Linked DNA regions of Canis lupus familiaris. Each later gene encodes a partner of the first gene's protein in a complex. Links are inferred from orthologs where the notes say so. Each region holds a gene or a part of one and is shown in the gene's direction. Other genes may lie near its edges.

Region 1 (7,480 bases):
TGTTAAGATTTAGGCTCACCTTTATTAGGCTTGAAGGGCTAAATGTATCTTTTTCTAATGTACACATTCTTCCTTTATATGTTAATATGTTCAGTCAAATCTTGGCCCAGACTCCTGGGTCCCTTTAAAGGTTTATTATCTCTGTTTTAATTTTATTTTTGTTTTCTCTTCTTGGGGTTACCCCAGTGTTGCTCCACCATATCACCTGTATATAGCTCAACTGTTCTTCAGAAATTTACCCATGAGGTGCCTGGGTGACTCAGTTGGTTAAGTGTCTGCATTTGGCTCAGGCTGTGCTCTCTGAGTCCCAGGATCTAGCTCATCTCTGAGTAGGCTCACTGCTCAGTGGGAAGTCTCCTTCTGCCCCCAGCCCCAATACTTTCTCACTCTGTCTGTCAAATGGATAAAAAAAAATCCTAAAAAAACAAAAAACAAAAAACACATTCATGCTCACCTGCAGCATAAGGTGGAGTCCAGCTCACTGAGTGCTTCCACCACTGATCATTTCTATTACACATAAAAAATTGTGTCAATTGGACAAAAATGGCCACCTGAGCCAGAGTTTTAAGAACTGCGTACTAAAGCTTGTCTGTTAAAATCCTCCTATAAGTCTTATAGGCTATGAAAACATTTTCTTCTAAAGGGCTGACTTTGCTCTTTTAAAACACTCAATTTTCTGTGAAAAATGGCTGGAAAACTCTGTGACTCATTTCTGTGCAACCACAGTCCAAAGTCTTTTTTTAAAAAAAGATTTTAGGGATCCCTGGGTGGTGCAGTGGTTTGGCGCCTACCTTTGGCCCAGGGCGCGATCCTGGAGACCCGGGATCGAATCCCACATCGGGCTCCAGGTGCATGGAGCCTGCTTCTCCCTCTGCCTGTGTCTCTGCCTCTCTCTCTCTCTCTCTCTCTGTGACTATCATAAAAAAAAAAAAAAAGATTTTATTTATTTTTTCATGAGAGACACAGAGAGAGAGATAGAGAGAGAGACAGAGAGACAGAGGCAGAGACAGAGGGAGAAGCAGGCTCCATGCAGGGAGCCCGATGTGGGACTCGATCCCAGGACTCCAGGATCATGCCCTGGGCCTTAAGGTCTGGAGGCTTAACCACTGAGCCACCTAGGCACCCCCAGACCAAAGTCTTAAATCAAGGTATGTCATCTATTTAAACTATTTTGCATATACATGAACATCTTACAAAGTCATTCACCCAGTCAACAAATATTTATTGATCGCATCCTGTGAGCTAAGTACTGTTCCAGGCCCTGGATATATAGCAATAAACAAAAAGACAAAGATTCCTGGTCTCATATTTTAGTTCAATGCCTAAACTCTTTAGTAGCGCATTCAGTACTGTCACTTCCTGTTCTAACATTTCAACATTTTAAAATCAGGGCTGATCTAGAAAATAAAAGGCTGGGGGATCTCTGGGTGGCTTGGCGGTTTAGTGCCTGCCTTCAGCCCAGGGCATGATCCTGGAGACCCTGATAGATTCCCACCTCGGGCCCCCTGCAGGGAGCCTGCTTCTCCCTCTGCCTGTGTCTCTGCCTCTCTCTCTCCCATGAATAAATAAAATAAAATCTTTAAAAAAAAGAAAAGAAAAGGCTTATGGTCAAGCTGTTTCTAGGACAATCCTTAATGCTGTAAAGATAGGTAAGGTTTTTCAGAAAGAGTCTCAAGTCGCACAGAGGCAAGCCTGGCAAATGACATGGGTGACACAACTGGACAGAACACTTGTCTAGTGCCATGATAAAATAATGTGACCGACTGTTGCACTGGACTGGATGGCTCTTGTAGGCAGGGACTCTGTCCTCTCATTTCCCAATAGCTGGCACAGTGCCTGGCGTAGAGTGGATGTTGAATAACTGTGAAATAAATAAATAGACAAGCAAATAAGGAGTGAGTGAATAAAGAGCCAGTGTCTTTTTTTATTTTTATTTTTTTTAAGATTTTATTTATTTAATTCACGAGAGACCCAGGCAGAGGGAGCAGCAGGCTCCCTGCAGGGAGCCCGATGTGGGACTCGATCTGGGTCTCCAGGTCACGCCCTGGGCTGCAGGCAGATGCTCAACCGCTGAGCCACCCAGGCGCCGCGAAGAGCCAGTCTCTTGATGATCTCGAAAGTCTCAGGACTTTAAATACCATCGAGGCCGAGAGCATTCCCAGTCCAGACGTCACCTGGGAGCGCTCGGCTCCCTGATCAAGCTGTCCTCTCATCCTACCTGGGCCTCCTGCTTCCTCTTCTCCCCGATTCCCACGCTGTCCCCGCGCGGCCTGGCCCTGCTCAGTCGGGCTTCACCCCTCCCAGGCGCTCAGGCCGCTCAGGCCCGAGACCCTGCGGTCATCCCTGCCTCTCTCTCCTCCCGCCCGTCGGGCATCCTCGTGGCCCTTCGAAGCCCGCATCTCCAGAATGTCCGAGCTTCCCGCGGTCTCCCGCACCTTCATCCTGCGCAAGCCCCCGCGGACCTGGCCTTCTCTCCACCTCTGCCTCTGCCCCGGTCGGACTCTTCTCCCCTCGAGCGTCGGGCTGAAAGCAGGGGCCAGACGGTGTAGACTCCTCCCCCAGCTTCCAACTACCCGGGGCAGCCAGTAGCCGAGTCTGACGGCGGGGGAAACCGAGGCCCAGGGCGCCCACACGGGGCCTGCACGGGGCCCAGCTCCGCGAGCGCGCGCCTCCCTCCCGGAGCCCACGCCGCTCCCGCGCCTGTGAAAGCCCGACGGGGCGGCGGCGTCCACGCTGGGACCCGGCGGGCTCAGCGGGAGGCGCGAGCGGCCTCCTTCCGACGTGGGCTGCAGGGCGGTCGCCGGGGCGGAGGAGAGCAGCCTGGGCTGGGGCTGCAGGGCGCGCGGGGCTTGCTCCCCGCAGCGCGCGGAGACGAACCCGCAGCCCCAGGCGCCCGGAACCCCAAGCCGCGGTCTGGGTTTCCGCCCGGCGGGCCCCTTCCGGCGCTCCCGGAAGCTGCGCTCGCTGCCCGGGTAACGGGCCCGGCCGGGGGGCGGCGGCGGCGGCACCACCACCGCTATGGACCTGGAGGAGGCGGTGAGCACGGGCCGGAGCGGGGCAGGCGGAAGGCTGCGGGGCGGGGAAAGCGCTGGCGCGGCCGGGGCGGGGCGGGGGGGGGCGCGCGCTTCGGGGACAGAGGCCGGCGTTTCGGGCCCGGTGAGCGTGGGGGTGAGGGAGGGCGGGGCGTCCACGTGGGTGTGTTTCTGGAGGAGGACGGAGTTGTGGGTTTTATGGGGTGGCCACCCACGGGCCCATCCCCTCTGGACCGGGCCACCCGCAAGTTTCCTTGGACGGCGGGGTGGGCGTGGGAGAGCCGGGTCCGACGGGCTGGCTCCTGAGTCCCCCCCCCCCCCCCCCCCAGCCACCCCGCAACTGTCCCTCGGCATCCCCGCCACCGTCCGGTGATTCCAAACTCTCCAGGGTAATTTATCCAGGTGATCAGGACGCGGGCACCGCACACTTCACCGGCCTGTTGAAATAAATTCGGGTTCGGTTTTTTTTTTTTAAGATTTTATTTATTGATTGTTGTTGAAATAAATTCGGGTTCATTTTTTTTAAAGATTTCATTCATTCATTCATTCATTCATTCATTCATTCAAGACTCACAGAGAGAGAGAGAGAGAGAGAGAGAGAGGCAGAGACACAGGCAGAGGGAGCAGCAGGCTCCCTGCAGGGAGGGGCCTGATGCGAGACTGGATCCCAGGACCCCCCGGGGTCACGCCCTGAGCCACCCACCCAGGTGCCCCTCCGCATTCCTTTTTGTTGTTGTTGACACACTGCGCCAACCACTGCTCTCTTGTGCTGCGGTAAAGGAGTATTCGGCAATTAGATCAAAGAGAAGGTCAAAGACCCATCCTTTTAGGGTCTGCCTGTGTAGGTACAGAAGCGTTAGGGTGATAGAAGGCCTTACTTGTTATAGATGCTCAATAAATGTTTGTTGGATGATGGAGGCTAACGTCCGTACGTGCTGGGTTAATGAAATTAGTGACTGTATCTCACCATTAGCCCGTGTTTGCTGTGAGTAGAGATCACGTCTGTTTTGCTCACCGCTGAATCCCCGGCCCCTAGTTAAATGCCTCGTGCGTACACAGGTGATGCTCCTTATATTGCTGGATGAATAAATCGAAACTCGGAACAACCCCAATAAAAATCTGGTTCTTTTGCTGTATGTGTTTCTAGTATCATTGAGAAAGTTCCAAATGGTTTGCAGTTTTTATTTTTAAGGTTTTGTCTTTACTTAAATCTTGTCCTCTTTTTTTTTTCTCACAGCACTTTGCAGTTTTAGTAACTCATCCTTTTTTCCCATTTTACCCCTACCACCTTTTCTTCCTCTTTTTCCCCCTTCACACACTGTGTTTTAGAAACTTTTTAAATCATTTAATTCCACTTCAAACTATTCAAAAGACTGAACTATTCTCTTTGTTTATAGTTAATCTCTCGGATACATTTTTCTTTCTTTCTCTTTGTTTATAGTTAATCTCTTGGATACATTTTTCTTTCTTCACTCCCTCCCTCCTTCCCTTCCCTTCCTCCCTCCCTCCCTCCCTTCTTTCCTTCCTTCCTTCCTTCCTTTTTTTCTTTTAATCTGTAGGTTAAAATTCCAGGGAACCCTTTAAGTAGAACTGCAGGGTTTAGGTGCAGTGTGTTGAATATGGCTTGATAGTAACAGCTTTTCTATATTCTATAGAAAGAGTTCAAGGAAAGATGTACTCAGTGTGCTGCTGTCTCCTGGGGTCTTACTGATGAAGGCAAATATTATTGCACTTCTTGCCACAACGTTACAGAAGTAAGTAATATAGATCATTTATGAGTCTGCTAATGTTTTAAAAATTGCTATTTTAGCCTGATATGTAGCCTAGTTCCCAAATAATCATTGTCACTCATGTACTGCCCAAATTCCAAGAACGTAAGTAGTCTTCAAGTGTTTACACGTGAGTTAAGGAATTAGATTTAGGATGGGTTTTTGAAAAGATGTTGGGCTGCATTTATAAATAATTTCATGATTCAGACTGTGTAATATAAGGGAAAATAATTAAAATTGTACTTATAAGGTGATGCATTTCTCTTTATTTGTTAATACCTATATAAGTTTTTATGTGTTGTGGTAGCTTAGAGGTTTGGAAGATGGAATGTTGTAAAGATTGAAGACGGGAATATTGGAAATATGCTTCATTATCATTTTATCTTTGTACAGTACTTTAGAAATTACAAAGTCTTATTCATTATTTCATTTCCTCCTCATAAACACCTGTGAGATATAGTACCATGCCAATCCATGGATGGGGCAAGTAAGGCTCAGGAGTTGAATGAGATTGCCAAAGTCACACAAGTATAAAGTGTTGAGCCAGGACGTGAACCTGAGTCTTGTGACTACAGTGCTCATTTTACCCCATCACACCTGCCTCTTACACTAGAGATTGTCATACTGTCTGATATAACCTTGGTAAATGAGGCCCCCTTCACACTGGGAGTGAGTGTTAGGTCCTGTTCTAATCACCACACATTCAGGGCAATATAACCAAAATAATCAAGGGTGTGGACAGTCAGCTATTGGACAGGTAAACATGCCAGGGCTCCACTTTGGAAAAAGATTTGCTCAAAGTCTCCAAAGCCAGGAAAGAACAAATATTACATTTACCACATAGACTTAAGAAAGGCAAATTTGAGACAGATAAAAGTAACTGTGTAGACTTCTGCTTTTGGCCAAGATGGAGTAGCAGGGACTAGATTTATTTTCCTACTTTAAATTTTTTTTTTTTTTTTTTAAATTTATTTTATGATAGTCACAGAGAGAGAGAGAGAGAGAGAGGCAGAGACACAGGCAGAGGGAGAAGCAGGCTCCATGCACCGGGAGCCCGACGTGGGATTCGATCCCGGGTCTCCAGGATCGTGCCCTGGGCCAAAGGCAGGCGCCAAACCGCTGCGCCACCCAGGGATCCCTATTTTCCTACTTTAAACAACTGAAAACTTGGGCATAATATATAAAAAAACTAAAAAAAAAAAAAAAAAAAAAAAAAAATTTCCTTTGGGGAAAGTGCCTAATATACTTTGTTTCTTATACAGAGCTTTTCTTGAAACAATCATTGTTCTTCAGTAGGCAGCTGAAGTTGTTGTGCCTGCTTCATTTAAGTTACACAGAATATTAAAAAGATGCTAGCACAGTGAAATTTTGTGGATGGTGGATATTTCATTGATTATGGTGATGGTTTTGTAAAGATGTATAGATATGTATGTATTTGTATAGATACATGAATATGCATACATATACACATTAACTCATATACTTTATTTATTTTAAAGATTTTATTTATTTATTTAAGAGAGAACATGGCTGGTGGGGGGGGGGGGTTGTGGAGAGGCAGAGGGAGAAATACTCTGCTGGTCAGGCAGCCCGATGTGGGACTCAATCCCAGGACCCTGGCACCATGACCTGTGCCGAAGGCAGATAGTTAACCGACTGAGCCACTCAGGTGCCCTTGCACTTTATTTAGTTTTTAGATTTATTTATTTTCAAGAGAGAGGGAAAGAGTGTGTGGAACACTAGTGGGGGAGGGACAGAGGGAGATTCTCAAGCAGACTCCTTACTCAGCATATTGGGGCCTGATCCCATGACCCTGAGGTCATGACTTGAGCCAAAACCAAGAGTCAGACGCTCAAGTGACTGAACCACCTAGGGGCCCCAATGCATACACTTTAAATATATGCAGTTTGATCCTCTTTGCTTTGATGCATGTAAGGCACTAGCAGTTTTACCCACGGTTGTTTTTGTAGCAGCAATGCAAATGTAAAGGTAGTGAAGGAAGATTGTGTCTAATTGGACTGTTTGCCATTAGTAGATGAAGTCAGTGTGCTATTTTTGTAGAAATTAAACTACATTAACTAATTGCCTCTTTTATTTCTGTCTTTGATAATGTTCCTATTTGATTCTAAATGATAAAATCTACTGCAGTCATTTTAACTTGAAAGATCTTAATACTACTGGACTACCGAGTTCTACATTTGAAAGAGAACCTGTATAGAGTAACTTGTCAAGAAAGAAGCATTCTTTTCTTTTTTGTGAAATTAACTTATTTATTTTAGAGAGAGGGAGAGAGTACAAGCAGGGGGAGGGGGCAGAGGGAGAGAATCTCCACTCCAGCAGACTCCTGGCTGAGCACAGCGCCCGATGTGGAGCTTGATCTCATGACCCCGAGATTGTTTGTTTCCTTGCTATTGAGTTTAATAAGTTCTTTATAGATCTTGGATACTAGCCCAAGACTTAATTCTTTTATATTTTGGTTATGAGAGAGGCAGAATCTTAGGCAGCAGCCCTTGAGAGCACTTGGAGTTGAAGACTATGGGATGAGTTATAGTCCCTATTCAGTCATTCTAAAATTGTGTAGGTTTGGTTAAAAATAAAAAGTAGTACTTTTATAATTTCAGAAATGAAAACTATATTATTCAAATACATAGAAAAGCAGGATAAAATGAATCTGTATGT
Region 2 (7,356 bases), on another chromosome or scaffold:
AGACAGAGCCTGCTCCCTGCACAGTGCTTCGTATTCCTCCTGGTACTTCTGGGTTATCAGCTGCCGTGCTGCCGTGCTATGCACACCACCTAGGTTCTGTCAAAGTGGGGCAGAGAATTTTATAATGCTTTCTTGGCATAATCACTGTGATTTTTACTCCCATCAATCCTATGTGAAACTGTGAGCTCTCAGAGCTGAATTACTGGTCACCAAAATCAACCACTAGTTTTAAAATATGTAGTGTTGGGCATTTTTCTTTTTTTTGTTGTTTAATTTTATTTATTTAACCACACACACAGAGAGGCAGAGGCACAGGCACAGGCAGAGGGAGAAGCAGGCTTCATGCAGGGAGCCTGATGTGGGACTCAATCCTGGGTCTCCAGGATCACGCCCTGGGCCCAAGGTGGTGCTAAACCGCTGAGCCACCCAGGCTGACCTAGTGTTGGGCATTTTGAACAGAATACTGTTTTGCAGGTATGGATATAGGTAAACATACCCACCAGGGAGGGGTCACCTGCACAGGGTTTTAAACCCAAGGCTACTTCTCCTAGCAGTTCCCAAGTGCACAACATGAAGATGATTTACCAGGAGTTTTTTCTCCAGTGGGGACTGTTGGTCTACGGCAATCCTAGGGTCTGGTGATGCTTTAGCCCAGGCCAAACTGTAAGATAAGAGAGCAGAGGTAGATTAGAGCGTGGGAGGCGTCAGGACATCTTCCCACACACTGACCTAACCAAACTGACTGACAAGAAGTCTGCCTCCTCCATGGGAAAGCACCGCACTACCACGGTGGAGAATCTGGGACCAGCACGTAAACCCTTCACAGAAAGTAGAAGCGCACATCTCCCGAGGACTCAACGTGAACCAGTCTGAGTCCCGAGTCTGGGGCCGGGAAGACATAGGCGGCTCCTTGCTACTGTGCTGCCCCAGCACCTCTCCATCAGACCGCTCTGCCTCCCAGGCTCTGTCTTCGGAGAGGTTTCCTGACTCCAGGGTTCGCAGTCCATCCTCCTTCTGTAGTTTCTGGGTCCGGACCCTCTCTGCCTCTATCAGCACATATAGCATCTCTGCCTTCCAGCCTTCCGTTCTGAAATTCTCTTCTTATCTGGTCACCCTGACTCTGTGTCCCTGCCTTACACTGCCACTCATCCTTCATCCCAAATCCATGAGACCATTCCCATTGAGTCCCCTGGCTTGGCACTGGTTAGTGGTCCCTCTTCTCTTGTGGGTCAGGCTGACGGCAACACAAGTGAAGACTGCCAGCCTTTCATATGTCATCCCTAGTGTACTGTGAGTTTACCGTGAGGTCGTGTTGAAGCCCCTGGGGATGCCTGGCATTTCATCTCTGTGCCCTTCAGGCTCTTTATGGCAAGAGCGTGGGCTTTGAAGCCTGACAGGGCTGTCTGAACGCTAATCACACCACCTCTGAGGTGTGGCTCTGGGTAAGTAACAATGGGTCAGTCTCCTGGTCTATAAGATGGATGTGGGAGACAAAGGTCTGCTTCTCAATCTTATAAAAAACAAACATAAACTAGATTAAAGAGCCTGGGACAGACAGTGTAAGTCCTCAATAATTGGCAATGGTCTCTCCTCCACAGATCAAGCCCAAGTCTCTGTAAAGTCTTTCCGGACTATTCTACGTAACAGTGATTTTCCCTTCTTCTGAACACAACGTTTTTTAAACATTATTCCTAAGTCACTTGAAAACCAGCCAGGGTTTCCATGGTGATACCTGTATCATTTGTAACACTTTCATGCTGAAATTTAGACTGTAAACGGGAGGTAATCTATAATTTAGATTGACAAATACGATGTGTCTCTGTTACTGGAATGAGCCTGGTATCAGTTATTGGATCTCACTGACTTCCTGCCTATGTTCCTATCTGTCCGTGGACACCTATTCTGATATTTAACAAAGGTAACCGTCCTATTACTTTTCAGAACACAACCCAGCACGGTTTGTGTTCAGCAACAGTTTCTGGAACTCATCTTCTGGTTCCCTTGTCGCTGGTATTCGAGCACCTTTCTCCTTTGCTCCTGAGGTGCCATGTCCACGTTTTTACTGAAACATCAGCGAGTCCTCCTGGAGGTGCAGACACCATAGTCCTAGGCCCTGTGTGGGTCTCTCGTGGCGGGTTCCACCGTGTCCTTCGTACCCCTTGAGGTCACAGCATCCTTTCCAACGGTGCCGCCCCAGCTCCACAGACACTTGGAAAGGCCCGGGCCTCACGACACCGGCCCATCGGGATCGCGCTGGACTCTGCGTGGAGCAGCACTGCACGGTCACGGAGTCGGGAGCAGAGTCAAAGAGGTTAACAGGCTAATTTTAACGTTCGCGGTCTAAACGGCAGACCGCCCCCTTCGAGCCGGACAGAACGACGTCCTGCGGGGACAGGCGGACGGGAGCCACGGGGGCAGCGGCTCAGAAACTCCTCGTGCCCCGCAGACGGTGGTTACTGGCGAGCGGCCGCAGCTCGGCTCCCTAGCGACCGTGAGCCTTACGCTCGGGAACGGCAACCGTGCTCGTCACTCCCCGGTGACCCGCTGGGCGCGGCGGAGGGGGACGGCCCCCAAGTCAGCCCCGGGCCTGGGCCGCCCGCCCCGCCCCGCCCCGCCCCCGGCCCTCGCCCTCATCTCCCTGGCCCGCCCGCTCCTAGAGCATGTCCTGGGCACGTCAGGCCGGCGGGGCGGAGCTGGGCCCACTGGCTCCGGGGCGGCGCGGCGGCGTTCGGGAAGCTCAGCAACATCTCCACAAGCAACGCTCCCGAGGTTGGGTCCCAGAAAATACGTATCCCCGGACTGCGCTTCTTCCTGATGGAGTGTCCGGAGGCGCAGCGGCCATTACCCGAGCTCCTATCCCGGCGTCGGCACCTCCGTCCGTCTCCCACGGCGCTCGACCCCCGCTCTGGGGCTCTCGGGGCGCCGGGCGCCGGATTGTGACGTCACGGCCAAAGGCGCCAGCGCCGCGCACAGCAGTCGGGGCGACGTATTGTGACGTCACAACCCCACAGAAGCCGGCGAGGCGGACAGCAGTCTGGGCGCCGGATTGTGATGTTACACCCAAGGGCGCCGGCGCGGCGGACTGCGGTCTGGGCGAGGGATTGTGACGTCACGACCAATGGGCGTCTGCGCGGCGGATGCTCTAGCCCGCTCCGCTCGGCGGGTGCTCTCACCTGCCCTGGAGGACCGCACTACGCCGGCCGGTCCTCCCGCGGAGCCTCGCGCGTCCAGGGAGGAGGGCTCGGTTCGCGGCCGCCGGGGTCCCTGGACGGAACCGGAGCTGCCCACCGTCGCACCCTCTGCGCCATGGACCCCGCGCCCTCCGGCTCCAGATTCCAGTCGGACCTGGACTTCTGTCCGGACTGCGGCTCCGTCCTGCCCCTGCCCGGGGCCCAGGACGCGGTCACCTGTGTGCGCTGTGGCTTCGGCGTCCCCGTGCGGGGTGAGGAGGGGGCGGGAGCGGCCGGGTTGCGGGGGGCGGCGGAGGGTCCGGGGGTGCCCGCAGCCAGCGCTTACCGCTCCGCAGACTTCGAGGGGAAGGTGGTGAGGACCCGCATCGTGTTCAACCAGGTGGGGACGGCGGTGCCCGCGCCGGTGCAGGAGGAGCCAGAGCTCCAGGGACCCGTGGTGAGTGAGTGACCCCAGCACTGACCCACAAGGAAGGCGGGGAGACATGCAGGGTTGAGTGCTGAGTCTGGGGTAACGGGTGTGCAGGAGGAGCCCGACCTCCAGCGACCCGTGGTGAGTGAGTGATGCCAACACTGATCCACAGGGAGAGCGGGAAGGGCTGCAGGGTTGAGTGCTGAGGTCTGGGGAAACAGAGGTCTTTGGAGCAGGGGTGCTGGGGAGAGCATGCAACGAGATTCCTGTAGGAAGCAGGGGTCATCCTGGCTTTCCCTGACCCCCCCCCCCCTTTGGTTGCCAGGTTGACAGGCGCTGCTCCCGATGTGGTCACGAGGGAATGGCCTACCACACCAGACAGATGCGCTCAGCTGACGAGGGGCAGACCGTCTTCTACACCTGCACCAGCTGCAGGTGTGCCCCCTCCCTGGCCCTCTGCCCTCTCCCTCTGGCCCTTAACCACACATGTCCTGTGACTTCCCTCTTGTACCCAAGAACCGGTTATTTCCTTTGGTCCTGTCCTCTTTTCAGGTAACAGGGACATTTGTGTTTTTTTTTTATTTTTGAAAAAGAACATTTTTGTTAGTTTTTTTTATAGCCAGTGAAGCGAAGCTTTTAAGCTGTTTAAAGGAGTGAGAACAGAGAGAAGGCAGGTATTTCTGGGTGGTCTGCGTGTTGAATCCTGCTGCTTGTTCCAGTGCTCTTGCTTTTATGAGAATCACCTGTGATTTCAGGAACCAGAGAGACCTGAACCATTTGAGAACTCCTTGTCTTCGGTGTTCTGTACTTTCACCACGCTTATCAAGACCTAGCTTTCAGGATCCCTGGGTGGTTCAGTGGTTTAGCACCTGCCTTCGGCCCACAGCATGATGATCCTGGAGTCCTGGGATCGAGTCCCGCATCAGGCTCCCTTCATGGAGCCTGCTTCTCCCTCTGCCTGTGTCTGTGCCTCTCTCTCTCTCTCTCTCTCTCTGTGTCTCTCATGAGTAAATAAATTTTTTTTTTTTTTAAGATTTTGTTTTTAAATAATCTCTATCCACTGTGGGGCTTGAACTCAACCCCAAGATAACAGTCGCAGGTTGTGCAGATTCATCCAGCCCGGTCATAGGGTAGCTCTATTTTTAACTTCTTGAGGAACCTCCACACTGTTTTCCAGAGTGGCTGCACCAGTTTGCATTCCCAGCAACAGTGCAAGAAGGTTCCCCACTTCTCCACATCCTTGCCAACATTTGTTGTTTCCTGACTTATTACTTTTAACCATTTTGATCTGTGTGAGATTTTATCTCATTGTCCTTTAGGTTTTTAGTCCAGGATTTTTAGTTGTCTTGAATTTGAAGGATTGTTTCGGGGAGCTAGTCATCTACAATGTCATAAATAAAACTCCCTCCTTAATTTTTCACGTGAATGTTTGTCTTATACTGCTAAAACCTCTGTGCCTAAATATAATGAGTCCTTTCTTTCTCCATAGGTTCCAGGAGAAGGAAGACTCTTGATTTTCTTTCTGGGCACCTTATCAGTTCTCCCTCTTCCTTGAAAGGTGAGGGATATTGGGTTCTTAGATGCTTTGTCTATCCTGGTTGCAGTGCTTTGCTCCCATAGACAGAGATTATCATGTGGGCATTACCATTGTCCCTACAGTACACCTACTGTAGTTGAGTTTCTTTATCAAGGTTACGTTTTTCTATATAAGCCAGACATACCTGTTATTTATAATGTCTTGTTCCAAAAGGAATTTAAATGGATTTACAGAGAATATATTCTTTCAGTAAGTATATCAGCTACAAAAAATATAGTATAAATTAGTGTATGAGAAGGAAAAGGGAAAAAGGAAACTACCAAAGACAAAAAATGGAGGCAGGAATGAGACTAATATAAAAAGTAATTATGGGCACCTGGGTGTCTCAGTGGATGAGTATCTGCCTTCACCTCAGGGTATGATCTCCCGGGTCTTGGGATTGAGTCCTACATCCAGCTCCCTATAGGGAGCCTGCTTCTGCCTATGTCTCTGCCTCTATTTCTGTCTCTCACATAAATAAATAAATCTTTTTTTTTTTTTTAAGTAATTACAAGTATTCCATGACTAAATGTATTTGGTTCCTGAGTTTAGGGAAACAAAGCAGGAGCCCAGATGCTGGGAGATAAGCAGATAACGTAACCAGATGTGTCTGACGTGTGAGCTGGAACAAGGAGAAGTCTGATACTAAGGTTTACCAGTATATGCTGAACACATTGGACATTTTGAAAATTGTATTTTTTTATTGCTGTTGACATAAATGTATATTCATTGTGATAAATTCATATATGGAAAGGTAGAGTAAAAAATGACAAGGAATCCTACTTCAGAGAGATACTTTTTTTTTTTTTTTTAAATGGGCTTTACTACGAATACAAGTTGTATCTTGCTTTTTATCACATTGAACGAAATTTTGTAGTCCGGCCACAATAAACATTCAAACTTAGTTTGGAGTCAATTTTTGCATTCCTTGGCTTGCACACTGCCCGGTCCTTTGTGTGTTCTGAGCTCTGAGACTTTCCCTGAGGTGTCTGAGCCCCGGGCGACGTAGTGGGAACTGATGGGACGGGCAGGGCGGACTTCCCTGACCACTTCTGTTAACAGGCATCGTCCAGAGTCTCCTCCCCGGTTGCTGCCGGATGCCACCGCCGGCGGCGGCCCTCACCCCTCCCGCCGCGGCTGGTGCAGGCTCCCCAAGCTTTCCCTGCAGAACCTCATGCCTGCAGCACGCACCTGGCCTCACCCGCACCTGCCAACCAGGCCCCTTTGGCCATCTCTGCCCGACAAAAAGGCAGGTGCTCCGTGGACCGCAGCTCGGCCTCTGCTGTCGGTAGCTCTTGCGGGCCACTCGGTAGCGGATTTCACCGCCACGCCCCGCAGCCTCGCTCACGTCAGCATCTCAGAGCCCGCACGTTATTCCTACACCCACGAGGCCCCCAGAGGACTGCGGGAGGCCGAGGAGGGGGAGGGGGATTCCCGGCGGCGCCTAAGGGAGCCCAGCCCTGACCTGGCGCTTGCACCTGCTGGAGCTCCGGGGCCGGTGCTCCAGTCCGGGACCAGGCGCCGCGCGGCGGGGGTCCCGGCGCCCGCACCACGCACCTGGGTAACCGCATCCCATACCCTGCGCCCAGCCAGGGACCTGCGCCCCGCCCCCGCGGCCCTCGGGGACCGCGCTCCCGCCGGGTCTCGGGCCGCGCCTGCGCAACGTCCGCTCCCCGCAGCGTCGCCTTCTCTGCGGGCTGCGGCACCTGCTCACCGTCACGTGACGGGAGAACTAGTCCGGCGGCGCATGCGTCCGGAGACCTTCGGCGCCAGGAAGGGACGGCGACGGCGGAGTGCGTCACACCCGGAAGCGGCGAGCCGGAAGTGGAGCTGGGCAGGTTACCCCGGGGGGAAGCGGAGGCCGAGGAGGAGGGGCCGAGGCGCTGGAGGGTCCTGGCTGCTCCTCCGAATCCGATCCCGATCCCGATCCCGGTCCGGTCGTCTTAGAGCTCGGAGACACCGGGAAGGCCGCTTCCTGCCCCGCCGCCCTCTGCCCTCTCCGCAGCCTCAGCCATGGCCGAGGCAGGAGCCGGGCTGAGTGAGACCGTCACGGAGACCACCGTTACCGTGACAACTGAGCCCGTGAGAAAGGCGGGGGACGGTGGCGCCCGCGGCGGGGACGGGGACGGGCCGGGGGCGGGGGCGGGGCGGGGTCAGGGCTGCGGAGGGGGCGGGCGGGG
Region 3 (7,385 bases), on another chromosome or scaffold:
CTCATGAATAAATAAAATCTTTTCTAAAAAAAGAAAAATATATCAATTTTTATTTCTTTATCAATTAAAAAAAGAAAAAAATAGGGGTACTTGGGTGGCTCAGTCAGTTAGGCATCCGCCTTCAGCTCTGGTCATGATTCCTGTGGGGTCCTGGGATCCAGGCTGGAACAGGGCTCCCTGCTTAGGGGGGAGCCTGCTTCTCCCTCTCCTTCTCCCTCTCCCCCTTCCTCCTGCCCTCTCTCTGTCTCTCTCAAATAAATAAATAAAATCTTTTAGGAAAAAATAAGGGACAGCAGCTCAGGAAAAAAAAAAAAGGAAGACATCTTTATGTCATTATCTTGAATAAACATTAAAAAACAGAACATTTAGGGGCACCTGGGTGGCTCAGTGGTTGAGCATCTGCCTTTAGCTCAGATTGTGATCCCAGGGTCCTGGGATGGAGTCCCAGTGGGGAGCCTGCTTCTGCCTCAGCCTCTGCCTATGTCTCTGGCTCTCTCTCTGTCTCTCATGAATAAATAAATAAAGTCTTTAAAAACTAATAAAATAAAAAATAAAAATAAAAAGCAGAACATTTCCAATACACATTAAAGGACACATGTTTGAAAATAATGTTCATCTGTATACCACGAAATAAATTAAATAAATAAATAAATAAAATTACTTCACGTACACAAGGAATTCAAACACTACACTTTGGTTAACGCATTCCAGGCACACTAGGGGTTTGATGTGAGCTCCTGCTGGGATACTGGCAACCCAGAGAAGTGCTGGGGCCAAGTGGAGAGTGTGTAGCTAGGATTATGCCTTGTCACCAGCCTGGCTGGAGGTATGGAAGGCTAAGGCTTTGTGTCAAGGTACAGGGTGGAAAACTGGAAGGGAGGGAAGGTAAATTAGGAGAGGGGGCAAAGAAGAAGGACCAAGGGCAGATTCCCTCAGAGTCTGGCCCATGTCCCAAGTCCTAGACTCTTGACCTCACCAGAGAGACACAATAGATGTAAAACAAGGCAGTTGGTTTCCAAGTGAGAAGAGTGCCAGATGGGTTTTTTTTTTTTTTTTTTTTTTGCTGCCCAAGGAATGAAAAATCAATAATAATCATTTTTATGATTCATGTTCATCCTGTTTTATTCCAGAGCACTTTACCGAAAGGCCCCTTGGCCCAGCCAAGAAGCTCAGGGCCAGGAGCCAGGACACCTGGATTCTAGATCTGTGTGTAAAAGACTTGGGCCTTTCTTGGGATCCAAGTTTCTCAGTTGTGGCAAGTGACATTGTGGAGCATTCCACCTACAGTTTATATACATCATCTCGGGTGACTCTCCAACCCCTGGGGAAGAAAGCAGAGAAAGCAGGTTTGCTATTCTCATTTTATAGACAAGGAAACAGTATCAGCAGATGAGGTTAAGAGATGTGATCAAACACACACTGCTTAAGAGGGTGGGGAAGCTGAGAAGCTGGGAGCTGTGACTTCTGACTCTAAACCCTTTGCTCTTTCCCAGACAAAACAAGAAAGTCAGGAGGCACCTGGGTGGCTCAGTGGTTGAGCCTTTGGCGCATGTCCTGATCTTGGGGGTCTTGGGATCCAGTCCTGCATGGGGCTCCCCACAGGGAGCCTGCTTCTCCCTCTGCCTATGTCTCTGCCTCTCTCTGTGTCTCTCATGAATAAATAAAATCTTAAAACACACATACGAAAGTCAGTCCGTTTTCTAAGTACAGTGTGAGGTGGTTTGATCCTACACAAAATGCTCTGAGTAGGCTCCAAGGGCAGAGCTGGATTTGTGCAGACTTGAGCTGTACAATGTGTGTATGTGTGGGTCTTTAACAAAAATAATACCCAACAATGAAATAAAATTAAGAACAGGGCACTACAAGGCCCCGCAAATGAGGGGCCATGAGCTGAAGCTTCATTAGCAACAAGGTCAACCGGCCTCTCCTACGTGCCCTGCCCACTCAAAAATCCGGTCACACCAGATCTTGACAAGGTTTTCCTCCCTGTTTGTAAGACGTGGCAGATGTGGGCTGTGGAAGTCCTGGGAAAGGAATCTCATTTCTCCCAGGAGACAAGAGGAATTACAGCGGCAGGGAGGCCGCTGAGTGAGGATGGAGAAGGCTGTGTGCCAGCGGAGAGTCCGGAGGGGCCGGCGCCCCGGCTGGCCGCGGTGCGGGCAGTCCGCAGAGTCGGTGCGGGAGGCGGGCAGCCCGGGAGCCCCGGAGCCCGGCGCGATGGCGCTGCGCGGGCAGCGGCGGCCCAGACCGCAGGCTCGCCTGTGGGAAGCGGGCGCTCTTCGTCTTCCGGCTCCCTGCGTCCTGACAACCCTGCTGCCTCGGAAGAGGGGAGGCAGAGACCGACGACCGCAGCCGGCAGCCCCGGGAGGGCGGATGGCGGTCCCCGCCCCGGCCTCTCGCCCCCGGAGCCGCAGGACGGCGGAGTGCCGCAGGCCCGGGCGAAGGCTGCCCCGCGGCGGCTCGGGCGGCGGGGCCCGGGTGCCAGGCTCCCCTCGCGGCTCCCCGCCGCCGCTGGGGGAAGGAGGGGGCCCAGCGCCCGCGGCCTGCTTTCCCAGGGCTGGCCGAGCCTTTTTGACAAGCTGATTGCATGGCGGGGATTGGCTGGTCCGGGCGTGACGCCGGTAACAACAAAGGTGGAGTTGGAAGAAATTAGATTAAAGGAGAGGAAAAAAAAAAAAAAAATTAAAGGGGGAGCTGGCAGGGGACTGGAGGCAGAGACCGAGGGGGAGATGCGCGAAGCGCGGTCTCCTGGCTCCCGCTTCGCCCCGGAAGCTCCTGGCGCAGACCCACCGGGATCACGCTCTCCGCCCCAACCCCGGCCCAACTACCGAAACCGGGGTGGGGGGTGGGGGGAGGCTACTGCTTCTTGAGAAATCCCCCTAATTCCCACCCTGACACCCCTTGCTACGGCCCAAGGGGAGAACTTTTTGATCGGACACCTCGGATCCTAAACCCGGAGGAGGTGAGGGGCGTTGAGAACAACGAGAGGCTCGCTCTAAAACCCGGAAGGCCCTCGCGGGGAGCCGAGATCCGGCGAGGCGGGGTGCTCCCCCGGTTTTTCAATGTGTTGCAAATCTAAGAGCTTCTTACTTTTTTTTTTTTGTAACCCCCCCCCCTCCTTTATCCCCCACCCCCTCGCTTTGGCTTCAGGGTTGCAAAAGCAAAGAGCAATAAAAAAAAAAAAAAAAAAAAAAAAAAGCCGCGCACACACTCAGACACACACCAGTGGCGACAGGGGAGAGTTGGAAAGACGCAGGAGAGAAGCAGGAGGCAGGAGGCAGCGGGGAGGGAGCAATGGGAGCGGGAAGCAGGCAGGTTCCCTCGCAAATCCCCCTCCGGCCCTACGTCGCTTCGCCGGCCCCGGCAGGGGAGCCAGGAACCGGGCTAGCAGATGGAGGAGTGGAGCTCGCTCTAGGCAGCGGGCTTGGCCGGAGAATGGAGGAGCCGCCAAGCGACCGGCTGATTGGAAGAGAAACGCAGAGCGATGGAGGCGGGGGTAGGAGGACGATTTCTCTGCGGGGACTGGCGGCGGCGTATACGCCCGGGTCGGGCGCTGCAGAGCTTGGCTAGCTTTCAACCCGCGCTCGCCGGCTCCAGCCCCGCGCGCCCCCACCCCCAGCCCTCCCGGCGGCTCCGCAGGTGAGTGCGAGCTGGGGGCAAAAAAAAACCCCAAAAGTCTCAACACGCCCGCCCTGCCCCCCCACCAAAAAAAAGAAAGAAAAGCATTTTTTTCTTTTTCTTTTTTTATTTTCGTGCAGCCCCCATCGCGGTGGGAGGGAAGGGGGTGAGGCTGAGTGGCCCGGAGGAGGCGGAGGGGCCAGGCGAGGCCGGGGTGGCCCGGGAGGCGGCGGCGCCGAGGCGGCTCTGACGGGCGAGCGCTCGGAGCGGCGCTGCGCTGCGCCGAGGCGGGCGGGCGGGCGGGCGGAGCGGGGCGGGCGGAGCGCGGCGCGTGGGGCTCGCCATTAGCCGTCGCTCCGCTTCGCCATCTCGGGCTTTGTCTGGCGACTCGCTGCCCCGGCGTCGGCTGCGGCGGAGCTGCGGCTCCGCTCTTCGGCCCGCCGCACCCCTAGGCGCCCCTGGCCCGCGCTCCCATTCACACGCTCGGTAAGTGAGCCCGGGCTCCGCGGATTTCGGGGGAGAGGGGTTGCTGCGAGTGGCGGCGGCGCCGATCTCCATGCGCCCGGGCAGGCCTGGGGAGCCATGCCGGGCTGGATTGAACCGGCTCCCAGAGCAGCTCCTCCGCCGGACCCCATCGCCCCCTCGCCGTTTCCGGGGTGTAAAGGAGCAAAGGGGACTTCTTTTTTTTTTTTTTTTAATTTGCAGGCAGGGCATTTTGTACGGTTTTTTTTTTTTTTTTTTTTTTTTTAAGTTTCGTGTGTGTGCTGTTCGGAAGCAAGGGGACCGCGAGGTAGGCGCCGAAGCCTGGCGCCGGGATGGGCGTGCGTGCGCCCCAAGCCGGTGGCCACGCTCCGGGGATGAGGGTGGGCGCGGAGCGCCCGCTCCAGGAGGCGGGAGAAGGGAGCGGGTGAGGACTGCCGTGGAAACCCGAATCTTAGCTGGGAGGACTTGGGGGAGAGCTCCGAAGCAGGGCTGCGGGCACCCCCTCAGCCTCCCCGGCCGCCGGGGGGCCCTCCGGGCACCGTCTCTGGCGGCCGCGCCTCGCGCCCTCCCTCCCGCGCCGGCCGAGCCTGCTAGTTCCCCCGCGGGTCTGGCGAGGTCGCTCTCGGCGCCCGCCCGCCCGCCTCGGCTCCGAGCCCCGCCGCCATCCGGGCGGCTGCGTGTCTCCCTGCCCCGGCCCCCCCTCCCCGGCAGCAGCAGCAGCCGCCGCCGCCGCCGCCGCCGCCGCCACCGCCGCCACCACCACCACCACCACCACTACCACCACCCCCCTCCCCTCCTTCCTTCCCTCCGCCTCGGCCGCCCGGGTCCCCCCAGCTCCCGCCCCTCCTCCCAGCTGCCCCCCGCGGAGCCCGCCCGGGCAGGCTGTGGGAGGGAGCGGAGCCGGCGAGGCGGGCGGGCTGGCGCTCGCTCCCCGGGGGTCGGTGTGCGCTCTACGGGGAAGGACGCGCTCGCTGCCCCGCTTCTCCCGCCCCCCCTCCCGCTCCTCCTCCTCCCTTCTCCCTCCTCCTCCCCGCTCCGGCGGCGGAGGCTGCGGCGGCGGCGGGGGGTGTGCGAGCTGAGGCCGGGGCCGGCGGGCGGGCGGCGGGCGGGCTGCCTGCAGGCGGAGGGCGCTGTGCTTTGTGCTTTTCGCCGCGAGGAGCAGCAGGCAGCAGCAGCCACAGCCGCCGCCGCCGCCACAGCAGCAGCCGCCGCCCCAGCGCCGCCGCCGCCGCGCCCGGAGGAGGAGCCGCTGCCGCCGCGGGAGGGAGCTGCGGCTGTGCCCGGCCGAGCGGGGGAGGGCGCCGCCGCTCAGAGCCGGGGAGGGAGCCGCCGGAGCGGGAAGCCCGGAGGCCGCGCTGCGCCGGGTAACCGAGGCGGCTGAGGACGCGCGCCGGGGTCGGGGCCGGGCGGCGGGGAGCGAACCGCGGGTGCCGTAGACGCCGGGGGAGACCCGGGCCGCCCTCCAGGCAGGGGACTGGACGAAAGAGGATCAGGGCATTGGAGAGGACGCCGAGAGCCGGGGGAGGGGAGGGCAGGAAGCGAGGCCCGAGCCGAGCCCCGGCCGCGGGCACAGGAGCCCGCGCTTCTCCGAGCCGGCAGGCGCAGTTCTCGCCGGCCGCCGGAGGGGGCGGCGGGGCCGGTGAGCGCTGCGCCCCCGCCTCCCGGCCGCCGTCCTCCCGCCCTCTCCTTGGCTCAGCTCCCCGGAGGCCGGGGCGGGGGCGCCGGCGGGGCTGGGCCGCAAGCTCGGGGGAGGAGGCGGCGGTTCCCGCCGTGGTCGCGCCTCTGCGGCGGGCTCCTCCGTGTGCGTCGGGGTGGCTGGGCGGTGGCGGCGCCTCCGGCCGGGGTGGGTGGCTCGGGGGCGGGGGGCAGGCTAGGCCGCTTCTCTCCGGCTGCTCACCCGCCCAGGCGGGCGGGGACGGCGTCGGGAGCCCGAGAGGGGGGGCGGCGGGAATCCGGATCCGGTCCCCGGGGGCGGTGCGGCCGCTACGCTCCGGGGCCGGTGGCGGCTGCGCTGCGTCCGGGTCCCCGCCGGGTTGCGGAGGCGGGGGGAACCGGCCGGGGGGAGGCGGGAGGAGGAGACTGCGGCGCGCGCCCGCTTCCGCGGCCGCGCGCGCCCTTTACCCGCCCTTCCTCCTCCCCCGCCCTCCAGCCTGGGGCCTCCCCGGGGCGGGCGCACAGAGGAGGAGGAGATTTTTTTTTTTTTTTTTTTTTTTTTTTGGCCCGGGTGGGGGAAGGAGGGCGGAGGGCGGGCGCTCGCTGCACGCGGGAGCTGGGAGCAGTCTCTCGCGTGGGCAGGGGAGGGCGCACGCGGTGGAGCCGGGCTGCAGGGGCGCGGGGGGGCGCACTCCCACACCCACAGACCCTTTAGGTCTACTAGGGTCTTGGCAGGGTCTCCGTTAAAGTGCGGACTTGTGCCCCCCTCCCCCTTGGGGGAGGGAGGAATAGAAAGTCCCTCACCTCGCATCCCGCCTGAGTGGGGACTGGTGTCTCTTCTAAAGGGTGAGGTGGTTTTGACCGCGGGTTGCCCGGCCAGCACGACCCAAGGAGGAGGCTGGACGGCTAAAGAATGAACGGAGAAGCTGACTGCCCCACAGACCTGGAAATGGCCGCCCCCAAAGGCCAAGGTAGGAGCACTTTAACTTACGTCCTCTTTTCCCACATGGTTGTTTGCGGGACCCCCTCTCCTTCGAAAGGGGTTAGACAGTCCCTGTTCTCTGAATCGAGGTGAGGGGGGTATCTTCAGTTTTATGAGTCAAGTTTGGCTAAACCCAAGTTATTTGGCCTTGAGGCTATAAACTATATTTTCCACACTTCATTCTCCCACTTAGAGAGAGAGTCTTATGGGAGCCTTCATTCTGGGATTCCCATCTGGCCAGAGTTTGTCCTTTCCTCACCCAGAGTCCTGGAATGGGAGGAAGGATGAGCAATGGGGGGGAGGGGGAGAAGGGAGGGATTGGCAAGGCTTTTCAGGTGTTTTATTGTTATTCAGAGGACAAGGTTTTGGGTGAGGCAGGTGGAGACAGGATATTTTGGTGGTTTGAGGCTCCAAGCCATAGGAGGTCCATAACTAGATCCTACCCCATCCAGGAGAGATCCTGTGCCGATGGGGGCAGGGGGTTGGATGAAGCTGAGCATCTGGCCCTGACTGGGACGCTGAGAGGACTGAGGATTATTGGTCCATGTGACCCACCCTGTGGCAACCTTGACCCTGGTTACCAGATGCAAATGCAAATGAAGAGCCCTTTTGACTCCTAGTCCTGGTTGTTCTCCTAACTTACCTTCCA

The links.
Region 2: TAF1B (region 1) and POLR1H share a complex: the UniProt entries of both Homo sapiens proteins name them as parts of the pol I pre-initiation complex. The link is inferred for Canis lupus familiaris from reciprocal best matches to the Homo sapiens genes TAF1B and POLR1H.
Region 3: TAF1B (region 1) and UBTF share a complex: the UniProt entries of both Homo sapiens proteins name them as parts of the pol I pre-initiation complex. The link is inferred for Canis lupus familiaris from reciprocal best matches to the Homo sapiens genes TAF1B and UBTF.

The regions. Positions count from the first base shown.
Region 1 is NC_049238.1:6,877,704-6,885,183, forward strand, and holds the start of TAF1B (TATA box-binding protein-associated factor RNA polymerase I subunit B), read left to right. Parts: upstream 1-2,931; 5' UTR 2,932-3,018; coding exon 3,019-3,036; intron 3,037-4,687; coding exon 4,688-4,786; intron 4,787-7,480. UniProt on the Homo sapiens protein: Component of RNA polymerase I core factor complex that acts as a GTF2B/TFIIB-like factor and plays a key role in multiple steps during transcription initiation such as pre-initiation complex (PIC) assembly and postpolymerase recruitment events in polymerase I (Pol I) transcription.
Region 2 is NC_049256.1:27,776,516-27,783,871, forward strand, and holds POLR1H (DNA-directed RNA polymerase I subunit RPA12), read left to right. Parts: upstream 1-3,005; 5' UTR 3,006-3,051; coding exon 3,052-3,442; intron 3,443-3,526; coding exon 3,527-3,627; intron 3,628-3,925; coding exon 3,926-4,035; intron 4,036-5,089; coding exon 5,090-5,114; 3' UTR 5,115-5,158; intron 5,159-5,728; 3' UTR 5,729-6,081; downstream 6,082-7,356. Other genes in the region: putative uncharacterized protein ZNRD1-AS1, read right to left, coding at 1-96, 586-661, 842-1,065; E3 ubiquitin-protein ligase PPP1R11, read left to right, coding at 7,190-7,258. UniProt on the Homo sapiens protein: Core component of RNA polymerase I (Pol I), a DNA-dependent RNA polymerase which synthesizes ribosomal RNA precursors using the four ribonucleoside triphosphates as substrates. Can mediate Pol I proofreading of the nascent RNA transcript.
Region 3 is NC_049230.1:19,048,749-19,056,133, forward strand, and holds the start of UBTF (nucleolar transcription factor 1), read left to right. Parts: upstream 1-3,235; 5' UTR 3,236-3,639; intron 3,640-3,946; exon of another isoform or gene 3,947-4,104; intron 4,105-5,333; exon of another isoform or gene 5,334-5,465; intron 5,466-5,819; exon of another isoform or gene 5,820-5,944; intron 5,945-6,599; 5' UTR 6,600-6,667; coding exon 6,668-6,725; intron 6,726-7,385. UniProt on the Homo sapiens protein: Recognizes the ribosomal RNA gene promoter and activates transcription mediated by RNA polymerase I (Pol I) through cooperative interactions with the transcription factor SL1/TIF-IB complex.